Saccharomyces cerevisiae S288C: one gene and its partners. The protein of the gene in region 3 interacts with the protein of the main gene of each other region in a pairwise test. Each region holds a gene or a part of one and is shown on either strand. Other genes may lie near its edges.

The links.
Region 1: the proteins of SEN1 (region 3) and NAB3 interact in binary tests that used the Saccharomyces cerevisiae proteins (3 or more experiments, as listed by UniProt).
Region 2: the proteins of SEN1 (region 3) and RNT1 interact in a two-hybrid assay, tested with the Saccharomyces cerevisiae proteins (3 studies listed by BioGRID).
Region 4: the proteins of SEN1 (region 3) and RAD2 interact in binary tests that used the Saccharomyces cerevisiae proteins (3 or more experiments, as listed by UniProt).

The regions. Positions count from the first base shown.
Region 1 is NC_001148.4:184,817-189,480, forward strand, and holds NAB3 (Nab3p), read right to left. Parts: upstream 2,910-4,664; coding exon 501-2,909; downstream 1-500. Other genes in the region: COA2 (Coa2p), read right to left, coding at 3,491-3,697; GUP2 (putative O-acyltransferase), read left to right, coding at 4,338-4,664. UniProt on the Saccharomyces cerevisiae protein: May be required for packaging pre-mRNAs into ribonucleoprotein structures amenable to efficient nuclear RNA processing. Binds to poly(A)+ RNA. Appears to act in the maintenance of CLN3 mRNA levels.
Region 2 is NC_001145.3:747,720-751,577, reverse strand, and holds RNT1 (ribonuclease III), read left to right. Parts: upstream 1-1,900; coding exon 1,901-3,316; downstream 3,317-3,858. Other genes in the region: U2 snRNP complex subunit CUS1, read left to right, coding at 338-1,648; DFG5 (putative mannan endo-1,6-alpha-mannosidase), read right to left, coding at 3,849-3,858. UniProt on the Saccharomyces cerevisiae protein: DsRNA-specific nuclease that cleaves eukaryotic pre-ribosomal RNA at the U3 snoRNP-dependent A0 site in the 5'-external transcribed spacer (ETS) and in the 3'-ETS. In vitro, cleaves synthetic 5'-ETS RNA A0 site in the absence of snoRNA or other factors.
Region 3 is NC_001144.5:991,736-999,455, reverse strand, and holds the start of SEN1 (DNA/RNA helicase SEN1), read right to left. Parts: upstream 6,023-7,720; coding exon 1-6,022. Other genes in the region: CRN1 (coronin), read right to left, coding at 6,724-7,720. UniProt on the Saccharomyces cerevisiae protein: ATP-dependent 5'->3' DNA/RNA helicase required for the expression and maturation of diverse classes of non-protein-coding RNAs like precursor tRNAs, rRNAs and small nuclear (snRNA) and nucleolar (snoRNA) RNAs.
Region 4 is NC_001139.9:1,007,133-1,012,668, forward strand, and holds RAD2 (ssDNA endodeoxyribonuclease RAD2), read right to left. Parts: upstream 3,635-5,536; coding exon 539-3,634; downstream 1-538. Other genes in the region: MTM1 (Mtm1p), read right to left, coding at 1-173; TNA1 (Tna1p), read left to right, coding at 5,353-5,536. UniProt on the Saccharomyces cerevisiae protein: Single-stranded DNA endonuclease involved in excision repair of DNA damaged with UV light, bulky adducts, or cross-linking agents. Essential for the incision step of excision-repair.

The DNA of each region.
Region 1 (4,664 bases), on a different chromosome or scaffold from region 3:
AAACTAAAATAAACGACAGGCAGATGACTAAAACAAATCAAACAAGAACCTCTAGGGAAAGGTGTCCTAAGCGCGGAACTTCTTTTCGTTATGGGGTAAATAGAGCGGTACTTAATAATCTGTTTACAAAGCAATTTTACAAAGTTTTGATATAAGAACATTTAACTAAAGAGAAGAAAAAGAAATGAAAAGCCATTCTCTTGGCAGAGGAAACAAATGAAGAGGTGCGTGTAAGTGAAATAAATAGACCAAATAGCATTTGATAAGGAAGAAATAAAAGAAATTTATAACAGGGTAAAGAGTTTTTCGTTCTGAAAGAGATGCAGCAATAGTAAGAATTAAGTCCTAGTCCAATTTGGGAAGGGAAAACGATTAAAGCATAAACCGCTATGTCGAATTTATGCAAACCATATCAATCTACTTTCCTTAAAAATTTTTCGTCCAATTAAAAGAATTCAAGTATAATGTACAAGAAATGGAAAAGATTGAAAAAAGGGAGTCTATTTTTGTAGTTTTGCTAAACTATCTAATAGACTTTGAACATTATTGCCAGCAGGTTGCTGTTGCTGTTGCTGTTGCTGTTGTTGTTGTTGTTGTTGTTGTTGAGGTGGCGGAGGTTGGTGTGACATTGGTGGGGCAGAGGGTTTTGCAGATATATTTTGACCATTGTAATTGGTACTCATAGGAGGGGGAGAGGATGAGTTCATAGAGGAATATCCACCCAACTGTTGTTGCTGTTGTTGAGGAGCCTGGCCTTGCATTGATTGTATTAAACCAACCAATTGCTGCTGAGCATGAGGTTGTTGTTGCTGTTGTTGGGCCATTGAAAGCAAATTCGATACAACGTTAGGTGGAAGGTTTTGAATGGCAGATAATAGTTGTTGCTGGTCCATTGGAGTTTGAGAAGGTGGTTGAGGAGGCGGACCAGCCTGATAACGACCATACCCTTGAGGAATTTGTTGTTGTGGAGGTGGTGGTGGAATAGAAGTCTGGTAGCGACCGTAGCTCTGATTCATTGGAATTGGAGGTTGAGAACCATATCCTTGGTCATGGGATGGTGGTGGCATCCCATAATTACCATATGGCTGTTGCTGTTGTTGTTGTGGAGGAGGCATACTGTAACCCTGGTAATAGTTTGTTTGAGGAGGAGGTCCGACAGCTGGGCCGTTTGGAACAGGAAGAGGAGGAGCGCCATATATGTTTTGCTGATGGCTCATAGCACGGTAATCAGTAGGACGAGAATTATTTCTGTTGTTTTTGATGTTATTAAAAATGGCAACTGCGTCATCAGCGGATATGCTAATATATTCATCAAATTTCGTTTCACCTTGTGAGCCTTTGTAGAAAGTTTGAACATCTACATTGTGTGTTTTATTAACTAAAACAACGCCCCACACCCCATTATATGCGGCATCATTGATAAGCTTTCCCAGTTCCATTCTTGGTTTCAAGAAAATCATATCAGTTTCCAAACCAGTCCCGTCCCTAAACCTGTTGAAAACCTCAATGGCATACGTACGATCTGCGGTTCTTTTAACGAAAATGTTGCAAGAAACGGTGTGTCTTCTGGATTTCTTGTAGCCAGCACCATTGTCGTCATTGTACATGTCACCAGATTCAGTTTGAAATGGTCGTTTTGCGGAAGAAATAAAAGTAGAACTACTGTTTGTACCGTGATCACCATGATCAAATTGAGGACGAGCATTCGAGCTAGAAACTTCCAGGATCAACTTTTTGCCAAAGTTCATTTCTTGAGACTCGCATTCAATTGCATCTCTAACGCTTTGAGGGTTGTCAAACTGAATGAATCCAAAGGCATTTTTGATATTGATTTGCATGATATGACCGTATGGAGAGAAAATCCTAAATAAATCCTCCTTAGAAACGTTCTTTAGCGGCAAATTACCAATGAATAATCTTGACTTCGGAGGAATATTGTGCATCTCGGTGATTTTATTTTCACCGTGCAAATAGGCTGCATAACGGTCGTGTTCTTCTTCGGTAATCGGCTTAGATAAATCCGCCCTAGGAAATCTCATACGTCTTTGGGCATCTGACAATGGAGGTTTTCTTTGATCATTGCTTCTTGCGCCGCTTGTGGCTGAGGCGCTAGCTGTTGTTGAGATAGTACTATCATGAGGAGGTACGGAAAGAGCTGTGTCAGAATTTGAATTTAACATTGCTAAAATCGCAGACATCTTTTCTTCTTGAGGTAAATGTTGAAACTGAGGCAAATTTAGCATGTTACTGTCCATAATGTACTTGACTTGCTTTTGTAAAAGATCGTAATTAACATTTTCCATATTAGTTGGAAAGTGAGTATTATCATTTTCTTCACGAGTTATTTTTTTTATAGCTTCATCTACGTCCTTTTGTTCTTTTTCCAATGTTTCACGGCGAAGTTCGACCTCTTTATCTTTGGTTTTATCCTTTTTGTCTTCCTCATCCTCACCGTCTTCAGCGGCACTATCTGAGCCTACCGAACTGTTGTCGTTGCCTTCTTCTTCTTCTTCTTCTTCTTCTTCTTCATCATCATCGTCGTCATCATCATCATCGTCATCATCCTCTTCTTCCTCTTCTTCCTCTTCATTATCATCATCGTCATCATCATTTCCGCCTTTTTGTTGATGTTCTTCTTCTTCTTCTTCTTCTGTGTTTATTACTTCCCCGTTTTCCTCTCCTTTTTCCTCCTTATCTTCCTCCTCTTCATCGTTCACATCTTCCAGTTCGTGTTGTTCTTCATTTTCCTCCTCCCTTTCGGCTTCTCTTTCTTCCTCTGGGGCGTCAAATTCGATTCCATCGTCTGCGCTTGAGTTATTCATCAATTCATTCTCGTTAGAGTTACTATCGACGGATAGTTCAGGTGAAGGAATATCTTGAACATCACTGTTATGGTTTTCATCTGACATGGCTTGCAGATGGTTATTATATTATGAAAGGACAGTCCGGGAAAAACGTAAGTCAATTATTATATTTTGACCAAAGAAAATCGCTTGTTGCTGTGCAGAATCTAATAAAGATGCTCAAGATAGCTTTTATTAGACCTTCATTTAGAAGTGGCAAAATCAAATGAATTGTTTTTTGTCCTTTGCTTCTTCCGCTTCATTTTCTCTTCAACAATTCAGGGTTACACTCAATCACGTGGGATACCATAATTTATCGTTCTACAAAAAAATGCAAGCACGAACTAGGGCGGTAGTTAGGAAGCGAATAAGAATAGCGCTTTTTCGTTTCAATTTGGAATATTAAAGAGTGATATTATTAATGGTTTTCTTTTTTGGAATGTGATCTATATACATATTTAAATAGTCTCTTTTGTATTTGTGGTGTCATAATGAAACTGCATCACACCAGATGCTTACCCATACAGAAAGTCGATTGATTATGAAACTTGAAGTAGCGAAGATTACGGCACTCGAAAATAAATAAAAAGAGGAAATAAAAGAGATAGAATACAACTTATCAAAAGTTCCAGATAGCCCGTACCTGTTTAAATCTTTTTACTTAAAGCATCCTTCCTCTTTAACTCCTGCTCATGAGCAAGCTGAAGCTTGTGTTGCTGTACAGCTGGTGAATCAGAATCCACTGAATGTGCTGGACATGGCAGCACAGAACCGATGGCCACTGATGCGAATGCAATGAGAAATGTAGAAAAGTATAGGTTATTGACTATTTTGTTTCTAGTGACTGCTCTCATGATATGTGTCTGAATTAAACTAATTGGCCTTCCGTGCCTGTAAATTCAATAAATAAATAGGATGTTAAATTTTCCTAATGTGTCTCGAGGTGCTTATGTTATCGTGCAAGCGCTGAGTTCGAAACGCTGTTTTGATGAATATCCTATATATATCAAAAGTACAAACACGGGGAAAGAGAGCCATCCCATCAAAAAAAATAAAAAAAGAAAACCCTTGCAGAAGGAGAACTGGTGTAGAGGTTTCCGGTCTTAATGGACTTAAGCACGTGACTTTTAAAACCCATGCATCGGTTACTATGGTTACCATTACTTACGATTTTTTTTTTTTCGTTATGAACCCTGTGCCCGAGGGGTTTTCAGGCACATAGATCAAAGTTCTACTCGTTTACCTGTAATCTTGGCGCGTTTAGGTCTCTTTTTTTTTCTTTTTTTTTTCTTCTTTTTTCATTTGTACTGCGTTATAGTTGTTTATGGAAGGTACCAATGGTGAATATGGAAAAAATGAAGTCAAATAGAAGAAGAAAGAGAAGCTAGCTTTGAGGTAGGTACTGTTTTGAGGGTTTTTGGGTGCTTCAAATTTGTCTTCTCAACTACCTTATTATAGGGCTCAAAAATAATTGACGTCATCGCTACAAGTCAGATGTCGATGTTAAGAATCTGGAGTTGCATCGTACATTTCTTTTCCGTGCAGGCACTTGATTCACGAATAAAGCCAGACATTGAATTCAAAAGGCGACAAAGGATATTTATCAATTCATCTAAAGAAGAGAATGGTTCATCTTCTAGTGCCGTTACTGTTACCCGTAACCCTGTGCTCAGCTCTAATAGCCCATCTCCTCCGCTATGGAATACATGGGAATTTAGACTATATTATTTGGCGTTCACCGTAGTAGTTCCTTTCATGATAAAGGCGGCATTGGCTACGAGCTCCGAGTCTAATCCAAACTACTATAAATTCAGCGGACTG
Region 2 (3,858 bases), on a different chromosome or scaffold from region 3:
TTTAGCCAATCATCTTTTTTTTTTGCGTGATCTTTATCAATCGTGATTCTCTGCCTTCTGAGTGAAAAAAGTCATGATCTTCGCGTTATTGCAGCGGAATTTGCCGACAGGACCTAGGTCTTGAGAAAGAAAAGTGATAGGGTAAGTAATGGAAGAAGAGGGCACAGGTCCAATCACGCAGCTTCATTACAGGGCTATAATTGCAAGAATAATAACTTTCAACCATATAGAAATCCAATACAGTATATTGGTATTGTTTAGAAAGGTATTAAGAAGGCAGTAGCATACAGAGTATATATCTATAGGCAGAGCATCAGATCATAAAGATAGTGGTGAAATGGCTAGAACCAAAAGTAGGAAGCGTTCCGGAAATAACCAAAATAAGAATGCGTCTGTGGTAAATAATAAGGCTGAGATCGCCGCCATGATTGATGCAAGAAGGCTTGAGCAAAAGAAAAAGGGTGGGGTGACTAACAGCAAAGGAAAGACGAATAAGGTAGTGGATGCGAAGTTAGAAAAAGAGTTCAAAGACGTTTTACAACGATTTCAAGTGCAAGAGAATGATACGCCGAAGGAAATCACGAAAGATGAAAAGAACAATCATGTCGTTATTGTTGAGAAAAACCCAGTTATGAACAGAAAGCATACAGCAGAAGATGAATTGGAGGATACACCCTCGGATGGTATTGAGGAGCATCTATCGGCAAGAAAACGTAGGAAGACTGAAAAACCTTCACTTTCGCAGTTAAAAAGCCAGGTACCGTATCCTCAAATTATAGAATGGTACGATTGTGACGCAAGATATCCAGGCTTACTAGCGTCAATTAAGTGCACCAAAAATGTCATTCCTGTTCCAAGCCACTGGCAGTCCAAGAAGGAATATCTATCTGGCCGTTCTCTGTTAGGTAAAAGACCTTTTGAACTTCCTGACATTATCAAGAAGACAAATATAGAACAAATGAGATCGACGCTTCCGCAAAGCGGACTGGATGGTCAAGATGAAAAGTCACTAAAGGAGGCCTCAAGAGCAAGAGTGCAGCCGAAAATGGGCGCCTTGGATTTGGATTACAAGAAGTTACACGATGTGTTTTTCAAGATAGGAGCCAACTGGAAACCTGACCATTTGTTATGCTTCGGTGACGTCTATTATGAAAATAGGAATCTTTTCGAGGAAACGAACTGGAAAAGAATGGTTGATCATAAGAGACCGGGGAGAATTAGCCAAGAGCTTCGTGCCATAATGAATTTACCCGAAGGTCAACTACCACCATGGTGTATGAAGATGAAAGACATTGGATTACCTACGGGATATCCTGATCTGAAAATTGCCGGCTTGAATTGGGATATAACGAATTTAAAAGGCGACGTTTACGGAAAAATAATCCCTAATCACCATTCAAGGTCCAAGAAACAGGGTAGAAACTATTTTGGCGCATTGATCTCATTTGAAACCCCTGAATTTGAAAATTCAAAAGAGGATACACAGGCGAATGCGGAAAATGGGCGCCAAGATGACAAAATCGATGATGAAGTAGAGCATAAGTTAGATCACTTCCAGGAAGACATATCCGAAGTGACAAGCGCAGAAGAAAAACTTGAGAGAAACGAAGAGGAATCGGAGAAGCAACTATATACTGTATTGAAATAACTACTAAATATCGCATAGGTACTTCAGTTTTACAAAATTTTACATGTGGTACTATTTCTCACGTACGAGTTTTTTTCTTTTTTAAATGCGGCCCTAAACCATGCTGAAATTTTTCATGAGCTCATCGCAAAATTTATCTCATTATCAGGTCATATAGTCACTCTCAGGAGAATCCTGCTCGATCAAAGTGAGGCAAGTAAATGCGCATATAGAAGAGAGCAAAACTGTCCTATTTACAAGCTTTTCAAAACAATGGGCTCAAAAGTAGCAGGTAAAAAGAAAACCCAGAATGATAATAAACTAGATAACGAAAATGGTTCACAGCAGCGCGAAAATATCAATACCAAGACGCTTTTGAAAGGCAACCTTAAGATATCAAATTACAAATATCTTGAGGTGATTCAACTAGAACATGCTGTGACAAAATTGGTGGAGTCTTACAATAAAATAATTGAACTTTCACCAAATTTGGTAGCTTACAATGAAGCCGTTAACAATCAAGATAGAGTGCCTGTTCAGATACTTCCTTCTCTATCACGTTATCAATTAAAACTGGCAGCTGAATTAAAAACCTTACATGATCTTAAAAAAGACGCAATTTTGACAGAAATTACTGATTATGAAAATGAATTTGATACTGAACAAAAGCAACCTATATTGCAAGAAATCAGTAAAGCTGATATGGAAAAGTTAGAGAAGCTAGAACAAGTTAAAAGGGAAAAGCGAGAGAAAATAGATGTAAATGTGTACGAAAATTTAAATGAAAAGGAAGATGAAGAAGAAGACGAAGGAGAAGATAGCTATGACCCAACAAAGGCTGGTGATATCGTCAAGGCAACAAAATGGCCTCCAAAATTACCAGAGATTCAAGATTTAGCGATTAGGGCCAGGGTATTTATTCACAAATCCACAATAAAGGATAAAGTTTACTTGTCTGGATCAGAAATGATCAACGCACATAATGAAAGACTAGAATTCCTAGGCGATTCGATCTTAAATTCTGTTATGACATTAATTATTTATAACAAGTTTCCCGATTACAGCGAGGGTCAGTTATCAACATTAAGGATGAATTTGGTAAGCAACGAACAGATCAAACAATGGTCAATAATGTACAATTTCCATGAGAAACTTAAGACAAATTTTGACTTGAAGGATGAAAATTCCAATTTTCAAAACGGCAAACTAAAACTGTATGCAGATGTGTTCGAAGCTTACATTGGCGGCTTGATGGAAGATGATCCAAGGAATAATTTGCCCAAAATAAGAAAATGGTTAAGAAAGCTTGCCAAACCTGTCATTGAGGAGGCTACCCGTAATCAAGTTGCCTTGGAGAAGACGGATAAACTTGATATGAATGCTAAAAGGCAGCTTTACTCTTTGATTGGCTATGCTTCATTACGTCTACATTATGTTACCGTAAAAAAACCCACTGCAGTTGATCCTAATTCCATAGTTGAGTGCAGAGTAGGTGATGGAACAGTTTTAGGGACCGGTGTGGGCAGAAATATCAAAATTGCGGGTATTAGGGCTGCAGAAAATGCTCTTCGTGACAAAAAAATGTTAGATTTTTACGCCAAACAAAGAGCTGCCATTCCTAGGAGTGAATCTGTGTTAAAAGATCCCTCACAAAAGAATAAGAAAAGAAAATTCTCAGATACAAGCTGAAACGTTCCTTTTACACAACCATGATGGAACTTGCATTGATTTTCTTTAGCCATATAATTATCGCATATATGTCATTCATAAAACGTTTATAAAACATTAGAATATTTGATATATTTGAATATTTGATAAAAAATTTGATAATTTTTGGGATTCCATTGTTGGTCAAAGCTATAAAATTATGTATGTACTAGAAGTTCTCCTCGAGGGTATAGAAATCCTTAAAATGGAATCGGTATCTTACCATAAATGTTCCACTAGAATGTCATCAGATGAAAAAGACGAAAGAAACATATGACTAGCTCGCGTGGCGTAATGGCAACGCGTCTGACTTCTAATCAGAAGATTATGGGTTCGACCCCCATCGTGAGTGTTTTTTAGTATTTTTTTTAAAAACAATTGTTCCTCTCTAAATTTTAATCAGTTTTTGATCATGAAGGGTTTTGTATGTAGCACATAAACATTTTTACTGAAAGAAAAGGATAGCCTAAATATTAGAATACAATAAAATTTTTTTGAGCCTAGTTTGACACATTTAAAACAGC
Region 3 (7,720 bases):
TAACATCATCCGAAAAACAAACGTGTTTGTTATTTTTCTTTTTACCAACAACTGCTGCTGCCTTTTTGTTGCTGTCCACATCAGGAAAAGTTTTAGGAACTACGGCACTCGGTACACTCATTCCACCAAAAATGGATGACTTTTTCTTTGTACCAGATGAGGTGCTGGGCGATTCTGCCTTCTTGTTATTCTTTTTCTTATCATCTGCCTTGGACTTTTTCTTTTCCTTCTTCTTCTCTTTCTTCTTTTTCTTTACAGCTTTATCTGCCTCTTCACCTTCATCGACAACTCTTCTCTTCTTTGTGTCCTTATTGGATTTTACCTCATCGGGGCCTTGCGTAATATATTCCATGGGTAGCTTATAATCATCTTCTTGCTCTGATGGTACGGGTACATTGAACTTTCTTAAAATACTTTGAGCTCTATTATTTCTGGGATCCAGGAAACCCGAGCAAGCATATGCAAGACAACTTCTATCTTTTGCATCTTCAATCAAATCTCTCCATAACTTGCTTTTAGCCAGAGACCTTTGATGTCCCAAAACCCAAATACTTGTCTTGGCTCTAGTCAGAGCCACATTCATACGACGAAAGTCCTTTAAAAAACCGACACTAGATTTCGTATCATCGGCACGGACACACGATATCAAGATGATTTCTTTTTCTTGACCTTGGAAACCGTCGATTGTATTGAAATCGATTGATTTGTTGATCATGCCTCCAAAATAGCGGGCAAACTCTTTACGCATTTTTTGCATTTGCTCTCTATAAGGTGAAATTATACCGATTTTTCCCGTGAAATCAATTTTATTATCGAATTTTCTGAAAAGGTAGTCAACTAACTCAATGGCAACACGTATTTCCTCCATATTTGTATAAGACATAGTCTTCGCATTTTGTTCTTGCCTACCACTAATGATGTCAAAAAATTTGTAGGGAGCTAATGGCTCAAGCTGGTGCCAGGGTCTTTTGTTCAAGATATCCATACCAGGGCCGTCTTTTAGTCGTCCCTGATAAAATTCAGAAGAGGGGAATTTACTGATGGAAGGATGCATACGGTATTGAACATCCAGCAAGTATGGGGAGCTATTTTTCTCCATTCTAACGAACAGTGACTGATTGTATTTAAAATTGCTTGCTGCACCTGAAAGAACAGTTGGTGGTAGTTGGTTAGGATCACCAACCATAATACAACGCTTCCCTCCATACCTGAGAGGAATAATTGAAGAAAGTTCGGTACATTGACATGCTTCATCTATAATGACCGTATCAAATTTAATACCCATTGTTGCGAGTACATCATGGGCTGAACCAGATAAAGTCGAACATATGATGTCACTAACCGCCAAGATATGGGCCTGTGCATTCCTTCTATCCAAATCCCTATTCCTATAATTTACGGAATTCTTCTCACGCATTTCGTCCCTATCACGGCCAAGTTCATTGATTATTTTACTTAGCTCCCTAATCTTAAGTTGTAATTTACTGATATCTTCGGTTGACATTGGACTTTCTGGATTACCACTCTCAGAGTCTAATTTTCCTCTCAATTCTCTTCTTTTAGTCACAGCATTATTAAATTTACGTTCTAGTTCCGGATCTGTTCTGATTTCGTAATTCCTTTCACCTATCCTTTTATCCACAAGTTCTTCTAAAGTAAGGTCCTTAATTGCAACGTTTACAACGTCTGACCTACCTACACGGACCAATTGAGGTTTAAATTGATGCCCCTGCTTGTCATACACTCCACTCTTCAGTCTGAGGCAGATTTCGTCCACAGCGGCATTACTGGGGGCACAGATTAGAATTTTTTGCTTTTTTAACAGTTGTTCAGTATTCGATGAGTTCTTTTCTAGTGGCACTTTGATGACATTTGAAGATGAGGCATTCTTTGTAGACAAAAAGTAACCAATAATACCCAGTATAGTCTTTGTTTTACCCGTACCAGGTGGACCCTGAATTAAAGAAAAACCTTCTTTAGATACCGAATTAACGATGGCCTCAGCCTGCGACGTATTGAGCTTATAGCTTTTCTTAACTGTTTCAATTTCTGCCGCATCCACATTTACGGGAGGCGATGGTTTAGCCTGTAGAATTTGGCCAACTAAGTCATAGTATTCCAGCCCTTCCAGTGTTGAATACTCTCTTTCAATAGTCGTCATTTGCATAACCTTCACACAATATATCTCTGATCTTAGTGTCAAAAATTTACTGAAAGAATGATTTCTATGAATTCGTAATGTGACATCAACATTACCACCTTTGGTATTTTTCAATGTTCTCACCTTTGCTAAACATGTATGTTGTGCTTTCTTGAAATCATCACTGGACAACCTTTTGTCTGGTCGAAAATCGGGTAAATAAGCCATTACAATTAAGTCAGATTCAGAAATACCACAATCCTGTATGACTTGTTTAGCGACAGAGGCATACACATCATAGAAATCTGACACAGCAGTTCGATTTCCTACAATAATACTGAAAGGTTTATAGTCCTCTCTATCACGTGAAGAACATAGACCTTGCCAAGATTCTAGAAGTAGTAAAGGCTTCATGACTTTTTGGTAGTCAGCAGGAGAGTTGAAGAAATCCTTTACGTCAGAATAATTACCAATAGGCTCATCATCAGGATATTCACTATTTCTGGTGTAATCCCATTGCAATATGATTTCATATAGAGGGTTCATATCAACATTTAATCTCTTTCTCATATGTTCTAACTCCTGTTTAGCCAATTCAGCCGCAGTTTGTCTCTTGACAACCTTACCATTAATATCGACAGTTTGTATTCCTTTGCCTTTTGCCTTAGCAATAGCAAAAAGCTCCCGAGCGCTTTCTATATCGTTGTCACTCTCCTCACTACTGCTATCGTCGTTTTTGTTAGACAAACCCCTACTCTTTGTATGGAAAGCTGGCGCACTAGGTGGATGAACAACTCTGTTGTTTAATAATTGCATCCTAGCTAATTCCATTTTGGATAAAGGCTTAACAGGTTTTGTACGATGCAGTTTAGCATTAGCTGATGATTGGAACGTACCAAAAGATGTTATTTTAGGCTGAGCTACTCTTGGTCTCCCAGTTATTGAAGAAGATAAAGCTTTTCTTTGTAAATAGTCTGCCCTGGATTCAGCAGAAGAACTAGCAATGGTTGAAGACAGAGAGGGCGAGAGGGATGGTGACGCCGGCACAGAATCCGTTAAGTCGATCACCTTCCCAAGTCTTGATAATTCCTTTTCTTTTCTGTAGTTTTCAGCTTCTGTAGCGACCTCTTCCGTGAGTGCTTTATTGAATATTTTAGCCTTTTGTAGAATCTCACTCGCCTGTTGCTCCGTCAACTTATTTGAAAATCTCTTTGCCTTCGAGGCGTACTTGGCCATCATTTCTACCAAGGAATCATCCACTTTCACATGCTTTTCATGTGCTAAATCAGACGTGCTTATAATTAATCTAACACAAGATTCCAAAAGTACTTCGTCGCTCAATCTCAGCCAATACAACATATTCTTAAAGGTTTCTAAAACGTTGAGAAGTAAATTTTTCGTTTGGTCATGAAGAATATCTGAAAATTCTCTAAAGGAGTCCACCAAAGAGCGACTTAGATCTAAAGTATCTTTGGTGAAATTTTCCAGTTCAGAATAGTCATATTTAGAAGCCCATTTCAAAGTAAACTTATAAATCGTATCCAAGAATAACCAACATGATTCCCAGAATTTTAAAAATTCCTTTTCGGTATTTTGGCTCTTCAAAGTTTGGAAATTAGCAAACACACCAGAAATCGGGTCTACAAATGCACTCACTACGTCCATCAAAACACGAACAGCACGGGGGCAAGGCTCATAGAATTCACAATTGATTAATCTTTGTAGCATCACGTTTATATTCTTCAAGTTAACGGTCAAATTACTATTCAGAATCGCTAAGATACCTTCCAGTCTACCCTCAACGTCAAATGTATTGTATAAAATATTAGTAGCTGCTTGATACAAGTGTTTATCAGAGGAGAATATGCAGGACCAAAAACCCTGCGATGCATCTTCATCCGCAAGGATTTTAGACAGTTGACCGGGCAAAATATCCGCAAATTTTTCCATTAATCTCGTTGATAGCAGCAAAAACTTCTGATTCAATGCGTTGTGTGCCTCAGCTACGGCAGTATTTGACGGTACTATCAAAAGACCATTAATATTTTTTAAAGATACTAGCAGCTGTTTGGCCAGCAATGGACCGTCATGAAAAGATCTCAGGTCAATTTTATTTGTAACATTTTCCAAGACGTTGGTTGAAATTGGAATTTCGCTAATTGGTTTACCTGAATAAAGCTTAAACGTTCGATGACATAATAACAGTATATCAAAATCGATACATTCTGCCAATACCATCATCGTGGATGTGGCCACCGATGCAGAAGCAGCACCTAGCCCAGGATAAAAGTCGTTAGGATTCGAAGCTGATCTAATTATTATGTCTTGGATCAAAGGATTGTTGAGCAAAGCTCTAGAATCTGTTTTAGTCAACAGTACTGTTTCAAATTCATCATTCTTATAAAGCATTGCCCTTTCATTTTCCTTAATAGTCAACACAGCCCTCAACAAGGCAGTTGCTGAATTCATTAAACAAGCTTTGGGAATGGATTTTAGGGATGGATAATTGGCTATTATACGCAGGAACGCCATTGAGACCTTTCTAACCATTTGAATTCTTTTGGATGGTGACAGTGCATGATAAAATGGTAAGGTCCAAGAAAGTAAATCGGTTACAGAACCGGTAAGTTGAAAGTAAACTTCTGTTTGATGCTCAACAATTGGATTGTCTTGAATTTTGATTAGTTTGATTGGGAATGAATCTCTATTGAAAATTATATCCAAAATGCTATGGAATGTGAAGGGTTCAATTTTGGACCAAAACTCGGAGCCAAATTTATTCAAGAACATTGTTAATCCTCTTAACAAAAAGTCTAGTGGCTTATCATGATATGATTTGCTTAAGTGATTGTACCACATTTTAAAAATTGGCTCTAACGGAAATTTGAATGTTTTTTTTAAAGATTCCACATTTTTTGGGACCTGAAAGTACTCTATGAAGACGTCTTTATCAAATAAATTGAAAACCGGTAGTAATCTCGACCAGAATTGAGATACCACAATCTCTGTCCAGTTTGCCGGATTCTGTAAGAATAAAATATGGATATAAACTTCCTCAATAATATCCGGTGTCAGGTTAGAAAGATTTATATGGAAATTTCTTGAGTATAAATCCTTTAGAAAAGCTCGTGACCACTCATTTTCCTCTTTTGAACCTTCACACCAGCAAAATATGACACCTGATATAAAGGTTTTTATGCTTAATGGATTCGTAACGTCCAACAAACGATGCTTTGTGTCGTAGAAAAATTTGAAGATTGCTTCGAAAGTAGCCTTAAGTTGCTTGTTAAGCCTCAACATATGCGGATTACAGAGACACTCGTACATTGCAGTTTCAATTTCATTTGTAATGTTAATTCCCGTATTATCGTTAACGGAAATATTTCTAAGAATAGGAAAAACAGCCTCCACCCTCCATTGGCATACGATGTCATTAAACTTGGCTACATGTTCATGCGGCACATGTCTTTGAATGGCAAAATGTTGTAACATTTTGCACTTCCCTCTCGCAAAATTTAGAATGCATTTATCACAAACAGAGAGAATTGGATTAAAATGATTCTTCAGCCATGTGGCCGTAGCTTCTTCATTGAATGAGAAAATGGTTAGGGAAAAAATTGATATTGGTTCAAGTATGGGGTCGCAAAATAAATGCGTACCCTTGGGAACTTCTGCTAGAACTTGTAATAACTCCCCTAATAATTTTGCCTCTTGAATATTTGGATTTGTGCCTTGATAAACTTGTTCAATCTGAGGAATGTAAGACTTTGCCTTGGTATAGACGGTAGCTAGCTGAACATCGCTATTGGGGGCAATATCCTTATCCTTATTATTATTATTAATGTTGTTGCTATTATTATTATCAGGATTGTTGGAATTCATTTATAATAAACAGATGCGCTTTTTTATATATATAGAGATAGATGCCATACAGAGATGAAGTAGAAAATAAATGACAAAGTAGAGCTTTTTTGTAGGTGTAGATGATAAGATTAAAGTGCGGGAAGCCTTTAAAGTGATCGATTATTCGTTCCTATGAAGCTTCGTAAACTTTTCTAGTAGGTTAATATGCAGGAGAAATGACCTACACTAGAGAAGAATGAGAAAATGAAAGCTCTATAACTTTGAAACAAAAGGAATAAAGTTGCAAACGTGCACCTACAAAATAAACCTAACCAATGACCTTTTGTTAGAATTCCTGATCTCATCAACTTCTAACTTGTGGTTAATTTTTCAAGATCCTAAAATATGCGAAGAAAAATATAAATAAAAATTCATTCAGGGTTACCTTTACTATGTAACGCGTTTTAACTAAAAGAAAGACTTATTTATGCTTGCATAAAACTATATGATGAGGACAATTATACATTGGTCACATAACGCTTAGTGTTTTGTCAAAAACATTCTTTTTCCTGTGGGAAAGCAACATTTTGTTTCCTTTTTTGTTAGTGGACAGGTGAACATGATTCACTTTCTAAGTGCATTATTATCGCCGCCGTCTTATGTACATTACATATAATCAAAATACATCTTTCCTATAAAAAGGACTCACTTAATTTTATCATTAAAAGTACAAAAAATTTTCATTTTGACAGTTCGCCAATTTTTTGTTCCAACTTTAACAGGCGCTCATCTTTGTCAAGATTTGCTTTCGTTAATTTATCAACTACATCTTCTAATTGCAGAACCAATGTAGATAGTTTTTCGACAGACTTTTTTAAACCCAATGACTTAGGTGATGTCCTTGCCGCGGATGGCTCTTCCTTACTGCTGGCAGTAATGGCTGTCTTAGCAGCCGTAATTGAAGAAGGAGGTGTTGCGGATTTTTCCTGCTCAGGGGACTTTGTTTTCTCAGAGGACTTCTCTTCTTGAGGTAAGCTTTGCTCCTGTTTTCTATCTGTTGCGATAGACACTGGCTCTGGCTTCAATTCTTTTGAAGGTTCGACCTTAGGTGTGCGATCCTTTTTAGTTTCTGTTGGAGTGACTGGGGTTTCGATTTTGATAGGAGCTGGCTCATCATCGGCTTCTTCCCATCCGGAGGTATCCCTAGACGGATCTTCGGCGTTGTTAACTTGATCAATATCGGAGGATTTCTTCAACAACTTGTTGATCGAATTATCTTCCTTTAATACATGGTTGATTGTAGAAGATGAGGAGGCCGACTTTAGCGGTGAGGGAGATTTTGGAGCTTCTTGTTTCACCTCCTTTTCGGATTCGCTGATTGGCTTCTCCACTTTAGGCTGCTCCTTTTTCTCTTCAAGAGCTGTTTCTTGAGTTGTTGGCTGTTGAGGTCTTTTAGCCTCATGAAAGCTTGGTGCGGAACCGTCATAGATAGATCTCATACTAACGAGAATTGGACCTTCAACAGACTTGCCAGAAAACCACTCTTCAGCAGTTAAAGCTGGCTTATTGGAAGGTGCATCCGGGTAGATATCTTCTTGGAACTCCTCTGATCTCCTTGGAACAAAGAAAGATACCGGTTCGATACGCTGATCAACGACAGTCTTGAAACCTTTTAAGACTTCGTTTTCTTTGACGTTCACCATTCGCTTAGGCGCTACAGCAAAGCCTCTCTGTGCT
Region 4 (5,536 bases), on a different chromosome or scaffold from region 3:
GGCACTTCGGCAGCCCCATCACATGAACAGTCAGGAATCATCTGCTGCTGTTGCAGCCGTATTCTCACTACATCCATCGGTGTCAAAATCAAAGAAGTGAGTACTGATCCAGCACCGGCACTTAACATTCGTTCTTTTAAGGTCAGGCTGTTACTTGTATTGCGATCACTCATATCGTATTATCAACACCTCGTTTCCTTTCCTACGATACTTTATGGCTTTGGCTCATACGATTCCTGTGAAGTGAACTGGCACAAATATGAGGGTAGTGTGCCCCAATTCCAGAGGAGTGATCTTCCCGGAAATATGCAAAAATGACAGAATGTGTCTTATTCTCTAATTGCTATTCTGAGATCTTCAAGATGGCGAAAAATAACGTTGCGCGTGTTTGGGTGGGTGCCAAAAGTGTCATACCTCACCGACGCAAAGATACCAAAAGGACCGTATATATCTACTATTCCTGGATCGGTTGACTTTGTTAACATGCAGAAACAAAGGTAATGTTTATAAATAGTAAATCATACATAAGTATATGTTATTACATCTTTCTTTTCTTTAGTTTACCTGTTGCGGTTGAAATTCTCTTACTTGTATTGAGCTTCTTATCACCAGATATGTACTCCCTTGGAAAAAATTCATTAATCCTTTTTTGCTTCCCCTTCTTTTTGCGTTTATTAACATCTCTAATTAAGGGAATGAGAATTTCATCAGACTTTTCGTGTGGCCAACCTAGTTGAGTCTTCATGAATGAACGAAGCATATCGAGATCTGGTACCCCCCAAACAAACGGCGTGGTATCGTGATCGACTTCTGGTCTCATATACGCATCATAAACCATGACGCTAGGAAAATCATCATCTAAGATAATTTCGTTATTTACCAGTTTTTTTCTCAGGTCTTTTTCAAATTTATTTTCCGTTTCTTGCTTACGTTTATCAAACTGCCCATTATTATACCAGTCTTTAAAATTTTTTAGGTTTCCAAATTCTGCAATCACTTCAATGCTTGAAACGGGACCCATACCCTTCAATCCATTCGTGTAATCGCTCCCTAAAAGCTGTGCCAACTCAATCATATTCTTTCTATCCAAGCCCAATAATTTTAAAATAGATTCCGCATCATAAAATTCAACATAGTTCTTTTCGTGGAACATATTTTTGTAGATCTTTGTACCTCCAAATAGGAAAACATCACTGTCATCGGTAATTATACCATCGACAAGGTTTAGTTGTAACAATTCCGCACACTGTGCTTCAGCTTCCATAGGCGCAGTGATATAGGGGATTCCAAACCTCGATAGTAATTCTTGCACTTCTTTGATCATATCCATAGTTACCTCATCCGAATCTCTTTTATCCTTCATCTGTTGTTCGAATAATTCATCCTCCACAAAAGCGTTCTCGGCAACGTTTCTTTCAGCAGAAGTGGACAAAGTCGTGTTTTTAAATGTATCAAACTCTTCTTGTTCCTTTATCATATTTTCTACTATGTTATCTTCTTCATCTTCGGAGAAGTCATAGTCGAATATAAGAGGCTTTCTATGCTCCTTATTTATAGATTCGACTTTTCTACTATCGTTATCCTCTGCTTCTTTTGAAATCTGAGATTTAGTGGGAACGTCCTCAAATAGTTCTTCTGATAAAACTTCTAAGTCATCGTCCTTGTTTTCATCATTGGAGCTCTCTTTCTCGCTTTCTCTTTCTAATATTTCCGTAGCATTTAAGCCTGTCAAGAGTTCATAGCTACTCCCTTTATTGGTAGTTTCTGCTCCACTTTCTTGTTCATTTCTTACGTTTTTATCTTCCACGAAATTTGTTGTGTTATAGGGATTATACAACTGCTGGGAAGCAGTTGAAGAAAACCAGCTCGGCATTTCAGGAATTGGAGACTTTTCCTTCGTGGCTTCTTGGGACACATTACTCTCGGTATTCTTTTGAAAAAGCAGGGAATTTTCATTGTTAAAATCAAACTGTGGTATCTTGTGAGAAATAAAATTCAGGTTTTGCTCCCCCTCTGTTAAAATAGCCCCTTTATCCTCCTGCTGAGACGGTGGCCTAAACTCAGAAAGAACTGTCTTGCTGGTCCTTTTGATGACCGACTCTGATTTGCTATTCAAATTTGTGACATGATACGGTTGCTTACTATCCGGTTGTGCGCCAAGTAATCCATACTGTACTATTGGTGGACGAGCCTCTGTACCTTTTGACGTTACCGGCTTAGCGATTTTTGATTTGTCGTCCGCTTCAGGTTTCTTTTCCATCTTAGAAAGTTGCACTGCCTCCATCATTTCAATTTCCTCAATTTGTTTCAGGTAATCCTCATCGTCGTCTTCCACGCTGATTCTGCTAATTCTCATTGTTGGAGTAGTCTTGGAGGGCGATGCCTGATCATGTCTTTTGTCCAAAAACGATTTACTGCCAGCGTTGTTTAGGGATTGGCCCATGTAAGGCAACCTTGCAGCTTTCAAAGAAAAATCTTCCACAAACTTGACGTTCTTGGGCTTGAGTTCAACTTCTTCCCACTCACATTCATCAGAGTCACATCCCTCATCTTCTGACCGGTTACTCCTTTTCTGTGGAGCTGTCGTCGCGTTAGAAGACTCATGTCGCACTATTTTTAAGGAATTATCTTCCAAATCATCCCATCGGAGCACGTCCCCGTCCTCAGCATTACTATCTAACTGCTTTACCAAAGCGCCTGCATCTTTATCGTCTATTACGATTGCTTTTTGCGCATCAGAGCCATCGTTTGCCCCTAGTCCAAGAATCCACCCGTTATTAGTCTTAGTCAACTTGTACTCTTTACTCTTTTGGCCGGATATCCTATTGATCACCTCCTCGTTCAGCTTAGACGCTCCACCATCCTGAAACCCAGTAGTGTTGATTAACTTTTGAGTAAAAAAATTCCTCCTTTTCACCATGTCTATTTGAAATCTTGAGAAATCCATACTATTTGGGAAGATGGTCTCCAATTGTTCTTTCGAGTATCCCATCCTCAGTCTTGATTTCAACCTCAACGACGATAATATCAAATACTGTGTGGCCTTTGGCAGCTCTTCAAATTCGGCCGATGCTGGATTTATAGTGTCTAAATCAATGTCTTCCAGTCCATCACCGTTTATCGAATTCATCAGTTTTTCAAAAGTTTTATTAGAGTTAACTCTTGCATCTTCCTTATCGTATTTGAATCCCGGTATATCGGGCAAGTCCCACTCGTCCTGAGGTTTGAAGATCTGCACACTACTGCCACTACTCGGTGTAGAGTTTTTTACGTTATCGTTTGAGCCGTTTTGCAATTGTAAAGCCAGCAGCTTCCTAGCGGTGGATTTCGCACTCTCTCGTTTTCCCTGTCTTCTTTCTTTCCTCTGCCGTATTGTTTCCCTTTTCAATACGGGCACACCACCATCAAAGACGAATACCGGCCTAATGCCAAAGTATAATAGCTTACAAATTCTTCTAAAGAACCCAGTAATATGAGAATTCTTCACTGCATTCCCCTCCTGATCACGGACAGCTTTCAAAAACTGATATATCCAAATGGAGGCATCTACTGCCATTCTCTTATCTTCCAAGGATTCCAGCCTGACCGGTCTTGCCGTAGGACCTGCAATATCCCAAAATGAATGCACACCCATGTCTGAAGTTTGGCGTTCTCCCGAAAATGCTTTTCTTCATGGATGACGTGTAGAACCTTCAATGATTTACGTACAGTTTTTCAATCCCTTTAAGGTCTCTATATGTGGCGGCATCTTTTCTTTTTCTTTTCTTTTTTTTTTTTTCACTCTCCCTTTTAATGCCTCCACGGAGGTTCGAATGGGTTATACTAGAAAGAAAAAAAAATAGTGATAATTAACAATGAAAAAAAAAAAACAGCAACAAAATGTGGTATTGGGGTCACACCACTCATTGACTCACATCCTCTGGAAACATCAAAAAGCTACCAAAAAAGAAAAAAAAAAAAATTCAAGTGCGAAGTTTCCGCATATGCAAACCTTACTTATTGTATAATATTGGTAACAGCAGCTACTAAGCTCCCTGACTCTGATTTCTCTCTCTGTCTCTTTTGAGGAGTACCTTCTGCGCTACTGTGTTCCAATGGTATCTGCGCCTTGAAAATCAATCACAAACGCTCTTGCTATGGCCTGCCTTGGACACGATACGTCGCTGCTTATGCCGCCAGGTGTCAGTAAATGCTCTGACGCACCCATTCACCCCGCGCACTAATTTGCAAAATTTGGGGGCAGTTTGGGAATACTCCATAGAAAAAATCGACTTCAAATCAATTCCGCACAACGTCGCCGTGTTGGCTAAAGTGAACGGAAAATGGACGACATGGTAAAAGAACAGATATGTACATATACAGAAGCCGCGATTTCACATGCCGGCCATTATGGCACACAACCAGGTCTTGTACTGTCACTATGTGCGTTCCGGAACGCCTGTACAGTCCATGGTGAACCATTTATTTATTTATTATTATTATTTTGTACATTATTATTTATGCTATATGTTATTATTATTATCACTATTTAATATTATTATTCGGGTCCAGGTGAAATAACAAAGTCTGGCGCCAGTCACTTGTCTGGGTGCCCGTATTCTCTGTTACAGCGGTATCCCTCTGGATTCTGCAATCGTCGCCGGCTTCTACTAATTTTTCCTTTCCTTTTTGTTTTTTTTTTTTTTTAGTTTTTTATTTTCTAGTTTCCTGCTCGTATTCTGTTGGTTTTTCCAGTGTCTCTCTCCTTTTACAAGTCACCCATTCTCTGCGAAGAAGCGGTCGCACCAACAAAATAGAAAATACCACCGGACGCCGGATCGCTTATTACTCGCAATCATAGTTACCAATCACAGCCGGGCATACTCGGGATCTACCGTAGAATCCTATGCGTCACACATGAGGACAGGTTACGAACCGTCGAAGGCTTCGCGGCGTGTGTGATTAGTATTGTTTTGACCTCATCCATACACCCTGAAATATCTGTCGCATCTCCGATTACGTTAAAAATTCTGGATAATATATAAACCATGAGTTTTCCTTTCTTTGAAGTATGTTCCTACTCGAGATCCTTTTGTTATTTTATTGCCATTTTTTTTTTGTTTCATATGTACTTCTTATCTACTATTTATATTTCTCTATATTAACTAACTCTCCAAGCTATAAGCATACGTCCATATTTACTGTCTTAGAAGTCGTATTCACATCACAGTTTTCCCCCTCTTCGCCTTTTTCAAACTATTTTCCCCCGTGAGACAGCGACTGAAAAAAAAACGACTGCGCAGAAGGCTTATATAAAAAAAAAAAGAAATATTTCTTCACTTTCGAGCATTGAACTATTGTCATTACCTCTAGATGAGCAACAAATTTACAATGGAGTCACCTAAGCATTTGGTGGATGATGTGCTTTTCATATCACCCACCAATGATGGATCAGAAGAAAAGCCTACGGAAGTCACGTTCCAGGAAGATGAAGGCCATGACGCTAGCTTGCATAATCGCAGCCATGACAAGAAGTCGGAACTTGCCACCGAACGGG